Macaca mulatta: one gene and its partners. The protein of the gene in region 3 interacts with the protein of the main gene of each other region in a pairwise test. Links are inferred from orthologs where the notes say so. Each region holds a gene or a part of one and is shown on either strand. Other genes may lie near its edges.

The links.
Region 1: the proteins of USP2 (region 3) and NDEL1 interact in binary tests that used the Homo sapiens proteins (3 or more experiments, as listed by UniProt). The two-hybrid records come from large-scale screens. The link is inferred for Macaca mulatta from reciprocal best matches to the Homo sapiens genes USP2 and NDEL1.
Region 2: the proteins of USP2 (region 3) and LZTS2 interact in binary tests that used the Homo sapiens proteins (3 or more experiments, as listed by UniProt). The two-hybrid records come from large-scale screens. The link is inferred for Macaca mulatta from reciprocal best matches to the Homo sapiens genes USP2 and LZTS2.
Region 4: the proteins of USP2 (region 3) and LHX4 interact in binary tests that used the Homo sapiens proteins (3 or more experiments, as listed by UniProt). The two-hybrid records come from large-scale screens. The link is inferred for Macaca mulatta from reciprocal best matches to the Homo sapiens genes USP2 and LHX4.

Annotation. Positions count from the first base shown.
Region 1 is NC_133421.1:9,937,864-9,942,155, forward strand, and holds the start of NDEL1 (nuclear distribution protein nudE-like 1), read left to right. Parts: upstream 1-1,492; 5' UTR 1,493-1,502; coding exon 1,503-1,592; exon of another isoform or gene 1,593-1,624; coding exon 1,625-1,684; intron 1,685-4,292. UniProt on the Homo sapiens protein: Required for organization of the cellular microtubule array and microtubule anchoring at the centrosome. May regulate microtubule organization at least in part by targeting the microtubule severing protein KATNA1 to the centrosome.
Region 2 is NC_133414.1:113,059,452-113,063,377, forward strand, and holds the start of LZTS2 (leucine zipper putative tumor suppressor 2), read left to right. Parts: upstream 1-1,126; 5' UTR 1,127-1,369; intron 1,370-1,765; exon of another isoform or gene 1,766-2,032; intron 2,033-2,680; exon of another isoform or gene 2,681-3,110; intron 3,111-3,926. UniProt on the Homo sapiens protein: Negative regulator of katanin-mediated microtubule severing and release from the centrosome. Required for central spindle formation and the completion of cytokinesis.
Region 3 is NC_133419.1:120,062,374-120,065,873, reverse strand, and holds part of USP2 (ubiquitin carboxyl-terminal hydrolase 2), read left to right. Parts: intron 1-1,697; 5' UTR 1,698-1,738; coding exon 1,739-2,512; intron 2,513-3,500. UniProt on the Homo sapiens protein: Hydrolase that deubiquitinates polyubiquitinated target proteins such as MDM2, MDM4 and CCND1. Isoform 1 and isoform 4 possess both ubiquitin-specific peptidase and isopeptidase activities.
Region 4 is NC_133406.1:37,656,736-37,660,873, forward strand, and holds the start of LHX4 (LIM/homeobox protein Lhx4), read left to right. Parts: upstream 1-1,338; coding exon 1,339-1,551; intron 1,552-1,705; coding exon 1,706-1,926; intron 1,927-4,138. UniProt on the Homo sapiens protein: May play a critical role in the development of respiratory control mechanisms and in the normal growth and maturation of the lung. Binds preferentially to methylated DNA.

The DNA.
Region 1 (4,292 bases), on a different chromosome or scaffold from region 3:
TCCAGAGTGCTTCCAGGTCCACTAGGGAATACACACGCGCACATACACACACACATACGTGTGTATTTATATACTAAAATATATATAAACATTAATAATGCAAGATGGGGCAGGGTGCGGTGTCTCACGCCTGTAATCCCAAAACTTTGGGAGGCCGAGGCAGGCGGATCAGGAGTTCGAGAGCAGCCTGGCCAACATGGTGAAACCCCGTCTCTACTAAAAATATACTAAAAATACAAAAATTAGCCGGGCGTGGTGGCAGGCGCCTGTAATCTCAATTACTTGGGAGGCTGAGGCAGGAGATTCGCTTGAACCTGGGAGGCAGTGAGCTGAGATCGCACTGCTGCACTCCAGCCTGGGCAACAAGAGCAAAATTCCGTTTCAAAAAAAAAAAGCAAAATGGATTGTAAGAGGTATATATCTAATATATAATGTATATACTATAATGTATATAGTATATATTATATAATATATAATACATAATTGTATAATATATTACATATTATAATACATATAATATACAGCAAAGTTCTTAAAATTGTTTTTAAAATGTATCTCTTATATAATATATAATATATAAAATTATATATAATATATAAATTTGTGAAATTATAAATTTGTGAAATTATATATTATATATAATAATGTATATTATATAAAATATATAATATATAATATATATTTTATAGATATATGTTATATATTATATAAAATATGTTATATATATTTTATAAAATACATAATATATGTTATTATACATATATAAATGTAGGACTCCATTTCTTAGGGGCCTTGGAGGGGAGAAAGTCACACCCATACACACATGTACACGCATGTATACAAAAATGAATATATGCTCAGATATATACAATATATAAATATATTTATATATACAATATATAAATGGGCAAATATAAAATCCCCTTGGTGCCAACGAATCCATTCATTCATCAAATATTTGAGCGTCCACTTTGCCTAGAACCAAGTTATCTGTTGGGATGAGCAAGGCATAAAAGGTTCTAGCTCTCATAGAACTTAGAATTCTACTGGAGGAAGATGAGAACAAATACAAAATGTAAGCAGTGCAAGTGCTGTAAAAACAACACAGAGCTTTGTGGCAGTGATGCTTAGAATGCCCCTGGTGTTCCATTGGGTGTTCAGGCAGGGGGAATGGACTCGGAGGTGAACTATGAGCCGAGATTCGTTTTATAAACGGGAACACTGACACATGGACACTTGAAGGGCCTTGGTGGCCGGAAAACTGAAGGCACGTTCCCATCCGTCTTGGAACCACTCTCCCGAATAGCAGTTTCAGGGAGCTGCTGAAGCCATAACCAGCCGGTCTCAGAGTCCAAGAACGCCTGCGCAAAAGGACGCCGTCAGCTTGACGTCAGCGCGCCGGGCTCTGGCCCGCCCCCTGTGGCACCAGCCCCGCCCCGCCCCGCCCCGCATACCCGCGGGCTGCCGCGCATGCTCCGAGCCCCGCCCCCGTGCGTCACAGAATGGCCTCGGACACCCAGGCAGTCCCTGACGTGTCGGGGAGGAGCCGGGAGCGGAGGTGCGCGGAGTGGAGCTCGGGGCTGCGGAGGGGAGCTGAGCCGAGCGGCTGGGCGGGCCTGGCCAGGCCAGCGGAGCGGAGACGTGGGTCGAGCGGCGGCGAACATGCGCTTTTGACACATTGGAGGTGAGCCTGCACCGCGGGACCTCTCCCTAAGGGGCTGCGCTGGGCCGGCGGCGCCGAGGCCTGCCCTTGGGGAGCCTTCCCGGCCCGGGGCCGTGTCTGAGGCTCCGCCGGGGCGGGCCGGGCCGGGCCGGCTTCTGGGGCGGCCAGCCCAGGGACAACTGTTCCAACCGCTCTAACTGTCCCCTCCCTTCCCTGGTCCGACGTGTGGTCCCCCCAGGGGCGCCTGCAAGGGAACGATCCCTGTGGCCTCCGGAGGATGTGCCCCGTTCCGGGTGGGGTGAGGGCTGGCGGTGACGGAGGCCGGGACGTGGCACCGTGGGCTGGGGCGCTGGCGGCGCAAGGAGTGGCCCAGTCGGAGGTGGCAGCGGCGCGCCCAGCCTGCCGCCTCCTACCCCCTCCCTGAAATTCCTTCATTTGCGAGGGTGTCTTGAAGCGGGGTTGCATTTCGATCTCTCAGTGCGTCTCTCCCATGGGGGGCGAGAGCGCGAGCAGCCCACGTTGGGCTCGGATTGGCATTCCCCTGACTCCCGCCCAGAACTGCTAATCATCCTCCCCTTGGAGTTCGGGAAAGTGTCACGAACGGGCTCGGGTTACCTGTGCTCGACTCTTTTCGAGCTGTAAGCCACGAGATGACCCTTTAAGTTTTGCAAAGCAGGTGAAAGTTCTATCCCTACTAATTATTACGTTCTATTTACGTAGCACCTTTACACGCTTCAGAACTCTCTTCCTATCTCTTTCAAACCGCATCACCTTGTGGTTGCAGCTGATTATGTTATCGCCATTTCGATGGAGAAATGGAGCTGGAATGGGGGTAATTGATTTATACTTAGGTTCAATCAACTGGTGAGTGGCTTAGCTTGGATCATAATTTACATTTCTAGGCTCGGAGTTCTGGTTTCTTTTCGTGGGATTTTTATACCCTTCTCAGCTAGAAAACAAGGCAGAAAATGTGACTTGCCAAAGGTATGCCAGAAGCTGGTTGATTACTTACTCAATTATTTTTGAGCAAACTCACCTAGGATAAAAACTGCTGCTCAGTCATGAGAAAAATCTTACTGTGAAGCTTGTTCAGGAGTTGCTGGTTAACATTGTGTCAGCTAAACTGTGTTGCTCTTAATGTGCTTAAAAGACAGGGTAATGTCTTTGCTAAATCATGAAGTTGATGGGCACAATGCAGCGTTAAGTCATGGCCTGAAGAGAAGTAAAGGGGAACCAAGTGAAGTATCTCTTCTAAATTATTATTAAAATTATTGTTATTTAAAATTAGAGTGCATGAGAAACAAAACCTTTGGCCAGCCCTGGTTAGAGGTTGACTTGATCCAGATGGAAGTTGTTAAATCTTCTGAAACTGTAGTTGTTTTGATTTTTTTTTAAATTAAATAGATTGAAGTTGGATAAGGAGCTTAAAATAAGTAGGAACCTTAGTAAAACTTAGATCCTGCTTTCATGAGATCTGCAAAACAACGTATTTTCATTGTAAACCATGCTGAGATAAATTTGGTTACTAAAGCTTAAAATTACTTCTGACGTAAGTTTCTGAGCACTCCATAAAGTAGAAAAAGAAGTCTGATAGAATCAAAGAGAGACCATGTTTATGATCAACTTCGAAGAGTTAAAAATTCTGTAAATGTCACCTTTGAGAGCAGTAGAATTTCGGTAAAAAGGCATGTATTACCAACATACCAACATGTAATTACTCCAGCGTCATTAGTCCATCTTAGAACTGTTAACCAGAAACAATATTGAAAATAGATTTTCTTACCATTATGCAAAGAGTAATTTCCTTGTAAATAAAAGGCATTTTGGACAGGCTGTTTTCAATTCAAACGAGTTGATTGTTGCTAGGTTTCTGAAGGTCATACATTGTATGATAATGCTTTCCGTAAAAATTGTCATGCTTTTGAGACTCTGTCCATATTGAGACCTGATGTTAAATAAAGATGGGGTGGGGGTGGGCAGAGAATAATAATTTTTTTTTTTTTTTTTTTGATGGAATCTCCCTCTGCCGCCCAGGCTGAAGTGCAGTGGCACGATCTCGGCTCACTGCAACCTCCACCTCCCAGGTTCAAGCGATTGTCTTGCTCAGTCTCCTGAGTAGCTGGGATTACAGGTGCGTGCCATCATGCCCTGCCAGTTTTTGTATTTTTAATAGAGACAGGGTTTCACCATGTTGGTCAGGCTGGTCTCGAACTCCTCACCTCGTGATCTGCCCGCCTCAGCCTCCCAAAGTGCTGGGATTACAGGCATGAGCCACCGCGCCCTGCCAATAATACATAATTATCTATCTTCATTCTAGCTTCAGAAAATTGTGGATGTACCATTAGAGCATTGTTTTAGCAATGTGTTTTCTATATTGGCTAACTTTCTATAGCGTGAAAATCTCTAATTATATAGTTTCAAATAACAGTGAACACATCCTCCCAGTGTAACTTGAAGCAAACTGAACAGACTGTAACACAGTCCCTGAAACTGTTATTTGAGTATCTGCAGTGGTAGCAAATTTTATTATTTGTAAATAATCTGATTTTTGTTTTCATTTTTTTGGAGACAGGGTCTCATTTTTGTCACCCAGGCTGGAGTGCAATGGAACGATTACGGCTTACTGCAG
Region 2 (3,926 bases), on a different chromosome or scaffold from region 3:
AGTGGATTGGGAAGAAAAAAAAAAATTCAAAAACATTTCCCCGAGAACTCAGGAAAGGCCTGGCTAAGCCAGGTCCAGTTGGATCTACAGCCTTGTCCTCTAACTGATAGTGTATGTCACACTTGGCTATGAGGGGGCAGCTTTGGTCCTCCAGCAGCTTCCTCTCTGCTGTGGATGGGTTTAATAATAAACAGCTCGGCCGGGTGTGGTGGCTCACACCTGTAATCCCAGCACTTTTGGAGGCCGAGGTGGGTGGATCACGAGGTCAGGAGTTCGAGACCAGCCTGGCCAATATGGTGAAACCCCGTCTCTACTAAAAATACAAAAATTAGTGTATTTTGTATTTTTAGTGGCGTGGTGGCACATGCCTCTAGTCCCAGCTGCTCTGGAGGCTGAGGCAGGAGAATTACTTGAACCTTGGAAGCTGAAGTTGCAATGAGCCAAGATCGCGCCCGCTGCATTCCAGCCAGGGCGACACAGCGGGACTCCGTCTCAAAAAACAACAACTCACCGAGGTCTCCAGCAGCCCATATGGCCCAGATACCTAAAGACCTTCCCACATGCTGCCTTGAGTGCCATGGCGGGTGGGAGCCCCTGGGGCCTCCCTGCAATACAGGACAACTTCCTGTTTGTGCCTGTGGGTAGGATTTTATGAGTCTAAGAGAAGCCCAGTCATGCCCCGTGGGGGGTCAGAACCGGCAGGCCTGCTCACCTGGGCAGACACCTACTCTAGGGAGGGGGCTGTGCTGGTTCTGCTTGGGCAGCCCCACGCTGAGGTGTGTGCATGGTGGGGGCAGGTGGGAGCTGCTCTGGTGAAACTCGAGCCTCCTTTGTCTGATTCCCAGGGGTTTTCCCTATATTTGGGGATTGGGTCAAGAGTGGACCGGGTTGGGCTCCCAACGGAGCAGGGAGGGTGGCAGAGTCAAGTTCTATAGGGCAGCTTAGTTTAAGGCAGCCAGGTAGTCGAATTATCGGTCACGAGATGCTCGCCCCCTTCCCCACGTCAAAAACCAAATCCAGTAAACTGTGAAGGCGAAGGCCAGAGGGGCAGCCTCGGCCACCGTCGAGTCCCTGTGGGGCTGGGAACTGGGTAGGCTGTTGGTGGAGTGCGGGACAGACCCCTCCCCTCCCTGGGTGGGGGGCGCGGCCTGAGCCGCCCCGCCCCGCCCCACCAGGTCAGGCCAGGCGGGCGCCCGGAGCCGGGAGCCGGGAGCCCGGAGCCGGGAGCCGGGAGCCCGGAACCCGGAGCCCGGAGTTCGGAGCCCAGAGTTCGGAGCGGGCTAGGGAGGCGGCGTTGTCGCGGCAAGGAGGTGGGCGCGCTGGAGCAGGAGCGGGGCCAGAGCTGGAGCCGAGGCGCAGGTGGCGCTGGGTGAGTGGTGGGGCCGCGGAGGTGCAGGAACTCCTGCTTCCCGCACATCCCCGCTCCTGAACGAACTTTCCGCTTCTGGGGAAGCTAGGGGTGGAGTGAGGAGGGGGGTCCGCACTTGGTGGGTCGCCCGCGAAGAGTCCAAACAGGGAAGCGACACGAAAACGCACGCCGACGGGCCCCAAACACGCGTGCACAGACCCACGCCCGCACTTGGGACACGCGAACACACATGCAGTCGGAAAGGACGCGCCCAGTTTTCTACCCTTGCACTCCCAGGGACAGCGCCAATCAGCCCGCGCGGACCCACAGCGGGCAGGGCACTCTGCGGTCGCGCATTGGGTGCGGGAAAGGGGCAGCCCCGTGACCGCCGACGGGGGCGGGCCGGGTGGGACGCACCCAGAGGTTCCTGCTTCCTGGCCGCCCACAGGTGAAGACGAAGACGTAAACAGGCGCCGGGCACGTGACAGCTCCGCACACCAGTGGCCTGTGCCCCCAACCCCACCACGAGGCGCGTTTGCTTGGTTCCAGGCCGGACGGCGTTCCATTCTCCTCCTGGAGCCGGGATAAGCCCTCTCCCAGGAACCGGAGCACAGCGCCCCCTGGAGCCGGGGCGGAGCAGGAGGGCCGGGCTGCTGGGCAGGGCTGGGGTTAACCTGGGCTCCTGTACGTCCTTCCCCCAGCACATTCTTGGTATCTGCATCCCCGAAGGTTTCGGAGACAGGCCCTTGATGGCAGTGGACAGCTGCCCCCGCCTATTCCCGCCAGCCCAGAGAGCAGCTGCCTGAGCGCCTGCGGGTCCCCTTCCTACCCTCACCTCCACTCCTTGCCGGAGTAGGAGTCTCCTCCCCCGCAGAAAATGCATGAGTGTAAACGCCCCCTCAATACCAGAGTGGGCCTAGACCCCTAGAAAAAGGAGGACGAGCCCCTGCCCCCAGGGAATGAGGGAGTGGGCAGTAGCTCGATGCCTTCTTCCCGCCCCACCCCCTACCCCTACACACACGCTGAGCCCAGCTGCCGCCTGAGCTGGGCAGGCTGCCAGAAAGGGGAGGAGGTTCTCGGTGCCCCAGGAGGCAGGGATCAGGGCAAGGCCAGAGGAGGGGGCTCTGTTGGGGAGAGGGGCTCAGTCTGTTCTTGTGAGGCTGAGGGTCTGGGGTGAGTCTGAGGGTGGCTGGGCTGTGTTTCCCTTTCCAGGGAAAAAGAAAGAAAAACAACCCTGTCCATGGAGCTAAAAATAGAGCTGAGAGCCGGCCAGGGCTGTGGCCTGGAAGGGGGGGATGCTCCTTCCTGGGGCCCGGGCGAGCTCTGGCAGGCCTTGGCCCTGCGGGGGAGGGGGTGGTTAGGGGAGAAAGGCTGTCTTTGCCCAGGGATGCAGGCATCAGCTGACCTGACCGGGTCACCGAGACCCCTAGGGGAAAGGCTGTGCGGTAGAATATTTGCGAAGCATGGCTGTAAGAAGTTGTCTGTGTGAGTGACTGTGAATAGAGGCTGTCAATGCGTGAAAGATGGTTAGGAGACTAAGTGCATTTGAGACAGTGACTGGGTGCGAAGGACTGCGGATTGTTGTGGAAGCCTGTGCCCAACAGGCCTGTGACACCGTGTCTGTGTGTGAGTTGGACTGGAAGATTATGGAAAGAAGGAACGCGGACCCACGTGACAGCTGAGACTGCTTGTGGCTGCGTGGTGAGGCTGCATGTGGGAAAGGTCGCGTGGGTGTTAGGGAGACTGTATTGTGTGCGAGAAGGTGAGAATATTTGCGACCTTGAGAAAGTGGAATGTTGTCTGCCGTGCGGCTCCTGTAGGTTTGGGCTGTAGGCTTGGACCGGTTTGCCCCAGTGATTGTTGGGGAGCCAGGGGCCGCTTCTCTCCGAGAAATGACCTCTGTCTTAGCAAGCGGTCCCGAGGGGAGGCTGGGGAGCACGGGGCCGCGCCAGAGGCCGGCCTGGGTTCGCGGGGAAAAGGGCACCGTACCGGGGAGTGGGTCAGGGCCCGCGTGGTGGGGGGCGGCTGGGTGTGTTCTCCGAGGGGGCCGCCAGGTGGCGCCGCCTCTGCGAAGCCCAGGTTGCCGCCTCCAACCCGCCCCTGGTGAGGCAGGTGCGGACACAGCCTCGGCCTCCGACTCGCGCTAGGGCGCGGGGCCCCGGCACCGGAGAGTGGGGGACGGCCGGTCGTCGACCTCTCTCGCTTGGGACTCTGAGGCTGAGAGCGTGTCAAGGAAGCTTCGCTTGGAGAAGCGGAGGGGGAGGGGCGGCCGCCGCCGTGCCGTGGCCCTTTGTGCTGGAACAATGACCAGCTGCCGCTGGCCCCGGGGCCCCGGCTGGGGCGGAGGGTGACCACCGCCGCCGCCGCGTCGAGCCGAACCGAGCCGCCGGACACGCAGTCACAAGGCGTCGGAGGCAGGGCTCCCGACTGCCGCCGAGCAGCCCCTACGTGCGCCCCGGGCGATTCGCGTGACGCGGGTGCCTGCGCGTGTCCCTGCGCGTGTCCGCGTCCCGGGGCGGAGACGCCCCTCGGACCCTCCCCCGCGCGGCGCCGCCCACTCGCACTGGGCGGGGGCTGG
Region 3 (3,500 bases):
CTCCTCTCTGCCCTGATGGGCTGGGTTGCCCAGCCAGTGTCTGCTGAGTGGCCAGATGTCTGCCCACTGCCTGCTTCTCTCGCTGGGGGCTGCATGGGGAGGCCTGGTGTCCCAAGCTGAGGCTAGAGGCTGGCCAGGCTGGGAGACAGCCAGCCCTGATATTATCATAGACCTACAGAGGGCAGAGCCAGGCTGCCTCGCAGTAGCTCGGGGAGGAGATGGTAACCACTGTCATTGTGGAGCCCTTCACGTGTTGTTATCTCATTTATTCCTCACAACAGCCCTGTGAGGTAGGAATTATGAGGATGGTGGTTTTACTCATTTACAGATGAGGAAGTTGGGGCTCAGAGAGGTTACATGATTAGTGCAAAATCACCCAGCTAGTCTATCACAGGGCAAGTCCCACCACTCTGAGAGTCCTGGATGGCTCTGCTTCCGTCCCCCTAGAGAGCCCCCCAAGAGCCCCTGATGCCCTTGAGGACAGGCTTCTGACCCTACTTGCTCCTCTGCCACTCCAGCTCTATTGGATACAGGCTGCATGTTTACGGCAATGGAAGGCCTCCGGGGGTCCCCAACTGACCCTAAATCTGATGAGGGGGTGGTAACTCAAGGTTAAGTGGAAAGAACACTGGCCAGGATTTCAAAGACCTGGATTCCAGTCCTGGCTCTGCTGGTGTGTGGCTGGGGAGAAATAAGCACCACTTTTCCCATCTGTACAACAGATAGATTAAAATTCATGATCCTCTGGGGCTTTCAAAGCTCCACATTCAGCAGTTCCTTCACTAGACCCTCCCCAGCTGCTGGACTGGAACAGGGAAGGACTGGGAATGCCACGTGCAGTGCAAGATTTGGGACTGTAGGGGGCCCCCTTTGCACAAACATCACCAGGACCAATTTGGGATCCGGATCCATGTCGGTAGAGGAACCCTGTGTTGGTAGAGGAACTCTTGGGAGGCCCAGGGCCCTAACTCCACTTAGAACAGAAGCTTAGCTCAGTGACATGAGTGGGTTCTACTTCACGAGTGTCCCTCACTGTGGGACCAGCAGCAGATGCTGGTGTCTGGGGAAAAGGTCTGGAGACCACGTTCTGGCCCCTCGCTGTTGCATGCTCACTCACGGCCTCCCCTGCCCACCCACACCCCATTACTTCCTCTCCTGAGCCTCCTTGGCCCCACAGGGGATCTGACCAAATGATCTTCAGGTCATTCCAGCACAGTCTAGGTTTCCAAAAAGACACCTGCTCATCACATAAGTCAGAAGGGACAGAAGTGGTCTTAACTCCTGAAATATCCAGCATTCTCAACCCAGGGGTCTGTGGCATCCCCCCAGCTCAAGAGTTTCTGCAGTTGCTGAGGCAATGGGATTTGAGCTGGAAGACTGCACGGCTTGGTGGGCTGTGGACGTCGGGTAGCCCCTGCTTGTGTGTTTGAGTCTTTGAATGGCCAGGATGCGCTGATTCCCTGTGTGGCATATAAAAGCCACCTCATCCCTTGCACTCTCACTGAGGCGTGAACACACAGGTGCAAGCAAGCCCGTGTGCACACCTGTGTGCATGTGTGTTTCTCAGCAGCCAGCCTGTCTCTTGTGGAAATGGACTGGGAGCTCTTAGGTTCTGGCCCAGCTAGGGATGGGGAGCGGGTCTGTGGGAGCCCGACACCTGGCAGGGCCCTCTGACAACTACTCTCCTTGTCTTTCAGCCCATGAGGCTCCCAGTCCCCACTGAGTGCGACCCTGAAGGATGTCCCAGCTCTCCTCCACCCTGAAGCGCTACACAGAATCAGCCCGCTACACAGATGCCCACTATTCCAAGTCGGGCTATGGTGCCTATACCCCCTCCTCCTATGGGGCCAACCTGGCTGCCTCCTTACTGGAGAAAGAGAAATTTGGTTTCAAGCCGGTCCCCGCCAGCAGCTTCCTCACCCGTCCCCGTACCTATGGCCCCTCCTCCATCCTGGACTATGACCGGGGCCGCCCCCTGCTGAGACCCAACATCACTGGGGGAGGTAAGCGGGCAGAGAGCCAGACCCGGGGTACTGAGCGGCCTTCAGGCAGTGGCCTCAGTGGGGGCAGTGGATTCCCTTATGGAGTGAGCAACAACTGCCTCAGCTACCTGCCCATGAATGCCTATGACCAGGGGGTGACCCTAACCCAGAAGTCGGACAGCCAATCAGACCTGGCCCGGGATTTCTCCAGCCTCCGGACCTCAGATAACTACCGGATAGACCCCGGGAACCTGGGTCGCAGCCCCATGCTGGCCCGGACGCGCAAGGAGCTCTGCACCCTGCAGGGGCTCTACCAGGCAGCCAGCCGCCCTGAGTACCTGGTGGACTACCTGGAGAACTATGGTCGCAAGGGCAGTGCATCTCAGGTGCCCTCCCAGACCCCTCCTTCACGAGTCCCTGAAATCCTCAGCCCAACCTTCCGACCCATTGGCCGCTACACGCTGTGGGAGAAGGGAAAGGGTCAGGCCCCTGGGCCCAGCCGCTCCAGCTCCCCGGGGAGAGACAGCATGGTGAGTTTACCCTTGGGGACCGGGGATGGGCTGGGGAGGCAGCCACTGTTGCAGAACAGCCAGGCTGAGGGCTTGACTCCCAACCTGACTGATGATTGACGGCAGCCGGTGGCTGCTCCTGGTGGAGACAAACAAGAGAGGTCATCCCAGCACGTCTGGTGCCCCTGGGGCTCCGTGCCGAGGGGAGGGGCTTTCCTGCTCTGCCTAGAAAGCCCACTCAGGGCCTGTGCACTCGAGGACAGTCCAGTAGTGTTCTCAGGAATGCTCCGCTGCCCCCAGTGAACCACTCTTCTCACCTTCTCCTTTTCCATCTGAGATGCCAGTGCCTCCTGCAGGCCCTGCCCCGACCTGGGCTGGATGCGGGGGCCCCAGACCACCAGTGCACCCAGTAGCAGGAGGGCGTCCTTGCTGCGGTTACATCTCCCCTCTTGTGCAGGTTTTATTCCCTAGCCCCGAGGCCTGGCTTTATATTTGGACATAAGACATTAGGGGAAGAGGGACTCTCCTCTGAGTGACACTGGCATGCTCAGGACTAGGGTATCAGACAGCAAGGCTTATCATCTGGCTTTGGAGAAAGTAGTGGAGAAATTTTTATCTAGGGCTTGAGACAATCCAATACCTCTATTCCAGCCCTGCCTCAGCTGGAATGAGAGAAGAGGCTCTGCTGGAGACTGACCAAGGGCTGGCATGGCCTTGCTCGCAACTAATCTCTGAACGCGCCTCTCTTGGGGCACTGATGACATCTGCCTTTCTGTAGTTATTAGTGTGCCCATTAGGTGGCAAGCTCTCAGAGGAGGAAAACGAAATCCTATCTCTAGATCCCCTGCCACGTGCCTCCCACAACGGGAGCTGACCTGCTGATTGCATGGATGAATGGATGGATGGATGGATGGGTGGGTGGTGGGATAGGTGGGTGGGTGGATACATGGGTAGTGGCAGGTGGACAGATGCACAGGCAAGCATATGGACAGAAGGGCTGGGTGCTGTG
Region 4 (4,138 bases), on a different chromosome or scaffold from region 3:
AGTGAAACCCATTACTACTAAAAATACAAAAAGTAGCCAGGTGTGGTGGCACGCACCTGTAATCCCAGCTACTCAGGAGGCTGAGGCAGGAGAATCGCTTGAACCCAAGAGGTGGAGGTTGCAGTGAGCCGAGATTGTACCGCTGCACTCCAGGCTGGTCAACAGAGCGAAAATCCGTCTCAAAACAAAACAAAACAAAACAAAAAACCATGTATGATTCATGAGAGATTTGGTTTTACTGCTGTTGACATTTTGGAGTGTACAGGAGAAACTAGTGAAAAACTGTTTCAAGGTGAGCTTCTCAGACAGGATTTGATCAATTTATTATTTAGTGATAAACATCCGTGGCGTTACCCTTGTGTGCCAGGCACCACGCTAGGCAGTGAGTGTTTAGACGAACAACGAGCAAAGGTGTCTTTTATAATAGGGATGGGAACCCTGGGGTTTCCAGCCTTGCGAGTGCTGTGTCAGGAGGATACTCTAGGAGGCCAAACGCTTGCACTTTTATGTTTTTGTTCTTAGTACTTGTTGATTTGTCACCTTCTTTTTTTGAAAAGCACAGGGGAAAATGGCTAGCGATCCTAGCACTGTTTGTTCATCCAACCATGGAAACCTGACCATTTTGTAGATTTTGAAACAGTCAGTGACTCAAAATACTATCAAATGCCCAAGCAATCTCTTGGAAAGATGGGATGGCGGAGAAACAGACCTCAGATAGGAAGTCACCCAGGACAGGAACCAGATGGGGTGGTGGTTAGGGTTCCGTTGCAGACAACAGAGTCCACTTTCACTATTTAAGTGAAAAGTGATTAATCATCAGGTGGCAGGTGGCTTTCAACTCAGTGGAGCCCGCTGGGTGGAGCTTCCAGGATAACTCTCAGCCCCCCGAATTGCACTGCCTCTGCCGTGACTGAGCAGGACAGTGCAACACCCAACACGGCACCTCATCGCCTCCGCCATGACGCACATCAGCACAAGGGGAGCCTGTCCCTCAACTGTCTTGACATTTAGCTCAGTTTTGAATTCAAGTCTCTCCCAAGAGCGTTTGATTGGAAGACTCAATCATCTTCAAAATGTGAGCCACAAGGGCATCTGGAAAAGCAGTTTCTAGCTTTCCTATCTGCAGCACAGGAAGGCACATTAGGATGAGGTATTGATCCAGCCGATCTATGGTATCGGTTGCAGTTCATTAAAATATTGAGATTTTCTCTACAAGAGCACCCTCAGGCCTGGACCTCGATCACTGCCCACCCCCTCCCCCACACCGTATTTATCATTTGCTTTTCAGGACAGATGGCCTTTTAGTCCAGGCCTAGGCAGGGCTTATTTTGGGGGCTGATGTTTTTAGCAGAGCTTCCAATCACTTGTGAAAATGTCGTGGAAACAGAGGTGGATGTTGCTGAGCCTTCCTGGCCTGTTGGCTGTGGAACTGCAGCTGACATAAATGGCTTAGCTTCTGCGGCTAGCCTTGTGGTGCCCTTAGAAACGGATGACTCCTCTGGGCCAAAGTCACCCCAAGCCAGAATACACAGCCTGGCCAGCAAAGCAAGGGTTGGCTTTCAGTCCCCACTTGTCCCTTGACCATGCACCTTTGTGTGCAGTGTACAACCTGTGCAACTACATGCAACAGCTCTGTGGTTTGGGCCATGTCTGTTTCCACCACCAGCAGAATGGGAAGGCAACTGCCAGGGCCTGGCCTGGTTAGCAGGGCTGTGTGGAAGGCTCACAGTACCTCTCTCTCCTCTTCCTCACAGAGATCCCCCAGTGTGCTGGCTGCAACCAGCACATCCTGGACAAGTTCATCCTGAAGGTCCTGGACAGACACTGGCACAGCTCCTGCCTCAAGTGTGCAGACTGCCAGATGCAGCTGGCGGACAGGTGCTTCTCCAGGGCCGGGAGCGTCTACTGCAAGGAGGACTTCTTCAAGTAAGTCAGAACGGTCCCTGTCGTGGCCCTGGCCTGTCTCTGCCTCTCCCCATGCAGTGAGGGGGAAGTTTGCAGCGGGGTAGGCCAGGGAGGGTGGAGAGTCCACTCTGGGAGGGGCAGGTAAGTCCTGGAGCTGAGAGGATGCCCCTTGTTGAGCTCCCCCTTCTGATCAGTGGCCCATCACTGCCGGAGGTCCAGCCTCTAGGCCTCATTTGATCTCTGCATGGGGCAGGGGTGAGGAGCCAGAGGCTTTGGGCCATATTTCTCCAGGGTGGTTGACAAAGGAGTCCTGCAGATCTCCTTTGCTGCTCCAAAGAGCAACAGAAAGATTTGCTCTTTCTTTCTGTCCTGATATATTAGCACTTCAGGGCATGTGGTCGTAACATTACCACAACTTTCAGAGCAGGTGCTTTTAGGTTCGTGTCCACATCTAGAAGCATCTCCATGGCTGTGTTTACACAGCCTGCTTCAAGGGCCTTTGAGGCTTGCAAGAGTTGCTTCTGGCAGGAGGCACAGCCAGGCTCAGTCAGTGTCGTCACTTTATATGGAAACATGATCAAGAAAGAGGCAGTTTCGTGTGATGGTTGAGTCCAGACTCTGCCTGAATTTGAATGTACTTATTGGCGGTGTGCTCTTGGGAAGGTTGCTTAACTTCTCTGTGCCTCAGTTTGTTTATCTGTAAAATGGGGTTCACAGTAATAGTCCCTACCTCAGGAGGTTTTTATTAACTTTAAATAAGTCTATTTATGCATCACGTCCTCAGGACAGTGCCTGACACTATTAGCTCTTAAGACTGTGAGATTTTTCATTCTGGGGTGGGGTTCATCAAAAACCTCCTGTTGGAGCTTTGGGTCAGGGTGAGAAGACCTCCTGGAAGGTGTTTTCCATGGCATTTAGTCCTCGACTTCTCCCCCAGAATCTATTACCCAAGGCACTGATGTGGGTGCCTTAGCCGACGTGGCGCAGCTGGCAACAAGCGAAGCCAAGAGCGGGAGGTGGGGGTCAGGGATCAGTGACGCTGAGCCCTGTGTTCAGTCACACTAGCCTGGGTGGCCCAGGGGCTGCCGGGCAGGCTCGCCAAGGCCTGAGCACACTCAGCCCAGATAACCAAGCCCCACAGAGGCACCTCATGCTGAAGCTGTGTATTCGGGAGATGGGGGTTGAGGGGAGTAATGGGGAGGAATGTGAGTGCCGGATACAGAACACAATTTCTCCCACATCTTCCCAAAGGTTTCACTACAGAGAATAAGTGGTTTGAATATCTGAGGATGCTCATATTTCTTTAGTGCAATGAGTTGAAGAGCACATTAAAAATCTTGGTAACTACTGCGTGCGGCTGCCTCCCTGGCTGTGTGCAGAGGATGCACTCACTGTCACCATGGTACTTTGCTCAGATATGTGCTGCTCCCTACGTGTGAGTGTGTGTGTGAGTGAGTGTGTGTGGGGCTGTGAGTGAATGTGTGTGTGTGTGTGAGTGTGTGTTGACTATAGGAAGGCAGGGGCAGCCGGTGACACGGGCGCCCAGCAAGTCCTTCATGTTTGGGTGGAGGGACAGGCCTCTGGTCCTCCCTCTGAGCTTTTTGTGTACTGCTCTTCTTTCTCACAATCTTCCTGTTGCTTTCCCACCTCTCACCCTCCTCTAGTTTCCTTTTTTCTGGCATTCATGCAATTCCATTCCCTCTAGCCACATCCTTTCTCAGTGGGCAACAGGAGTTTGCCTTTGTTTTCCTCCCTCTATGATGTAATGGCCAAGCACCACAGCAGCTGTTCCGGGACCCTGGGTGGGGTGAATTTCACTGTGTGTGTGTGTGTGTGTGCGCGTGTGTGTGTGTGCGCGCGCGCGCGGGCGTTGTGCACCCGGGTGCATATGTGAACATAATGTGTGTGTGAAGAGGGCAGGAGGAGGCAGGTGGGAGGGCCTGGCCTTGGGGTCGGGTGAGCTGCCCTGCTTCTGTGATGAGGTGTATGCAGGTGTGTGTGCCTGCACCTTTGGGAAGCCAAGAGGTCATGCCTCCGCTTGCCCATCTTGGGGCAGGGTAGGTGCTGGAATGTCCGAGTCAGACCTCAGGGCCCACCAGTTTCTGACTGGTCCAGTGTGGCAGCTGAGGGAAGCCTGTGGGGTACGAGCAAAGCCTGTCAGGGCCACTGACCCAGGGCTTCATCGCCAGAGGGCCGCCTTGCACCCCCAGTGTTTCCTCAGGGCCATGTCTGA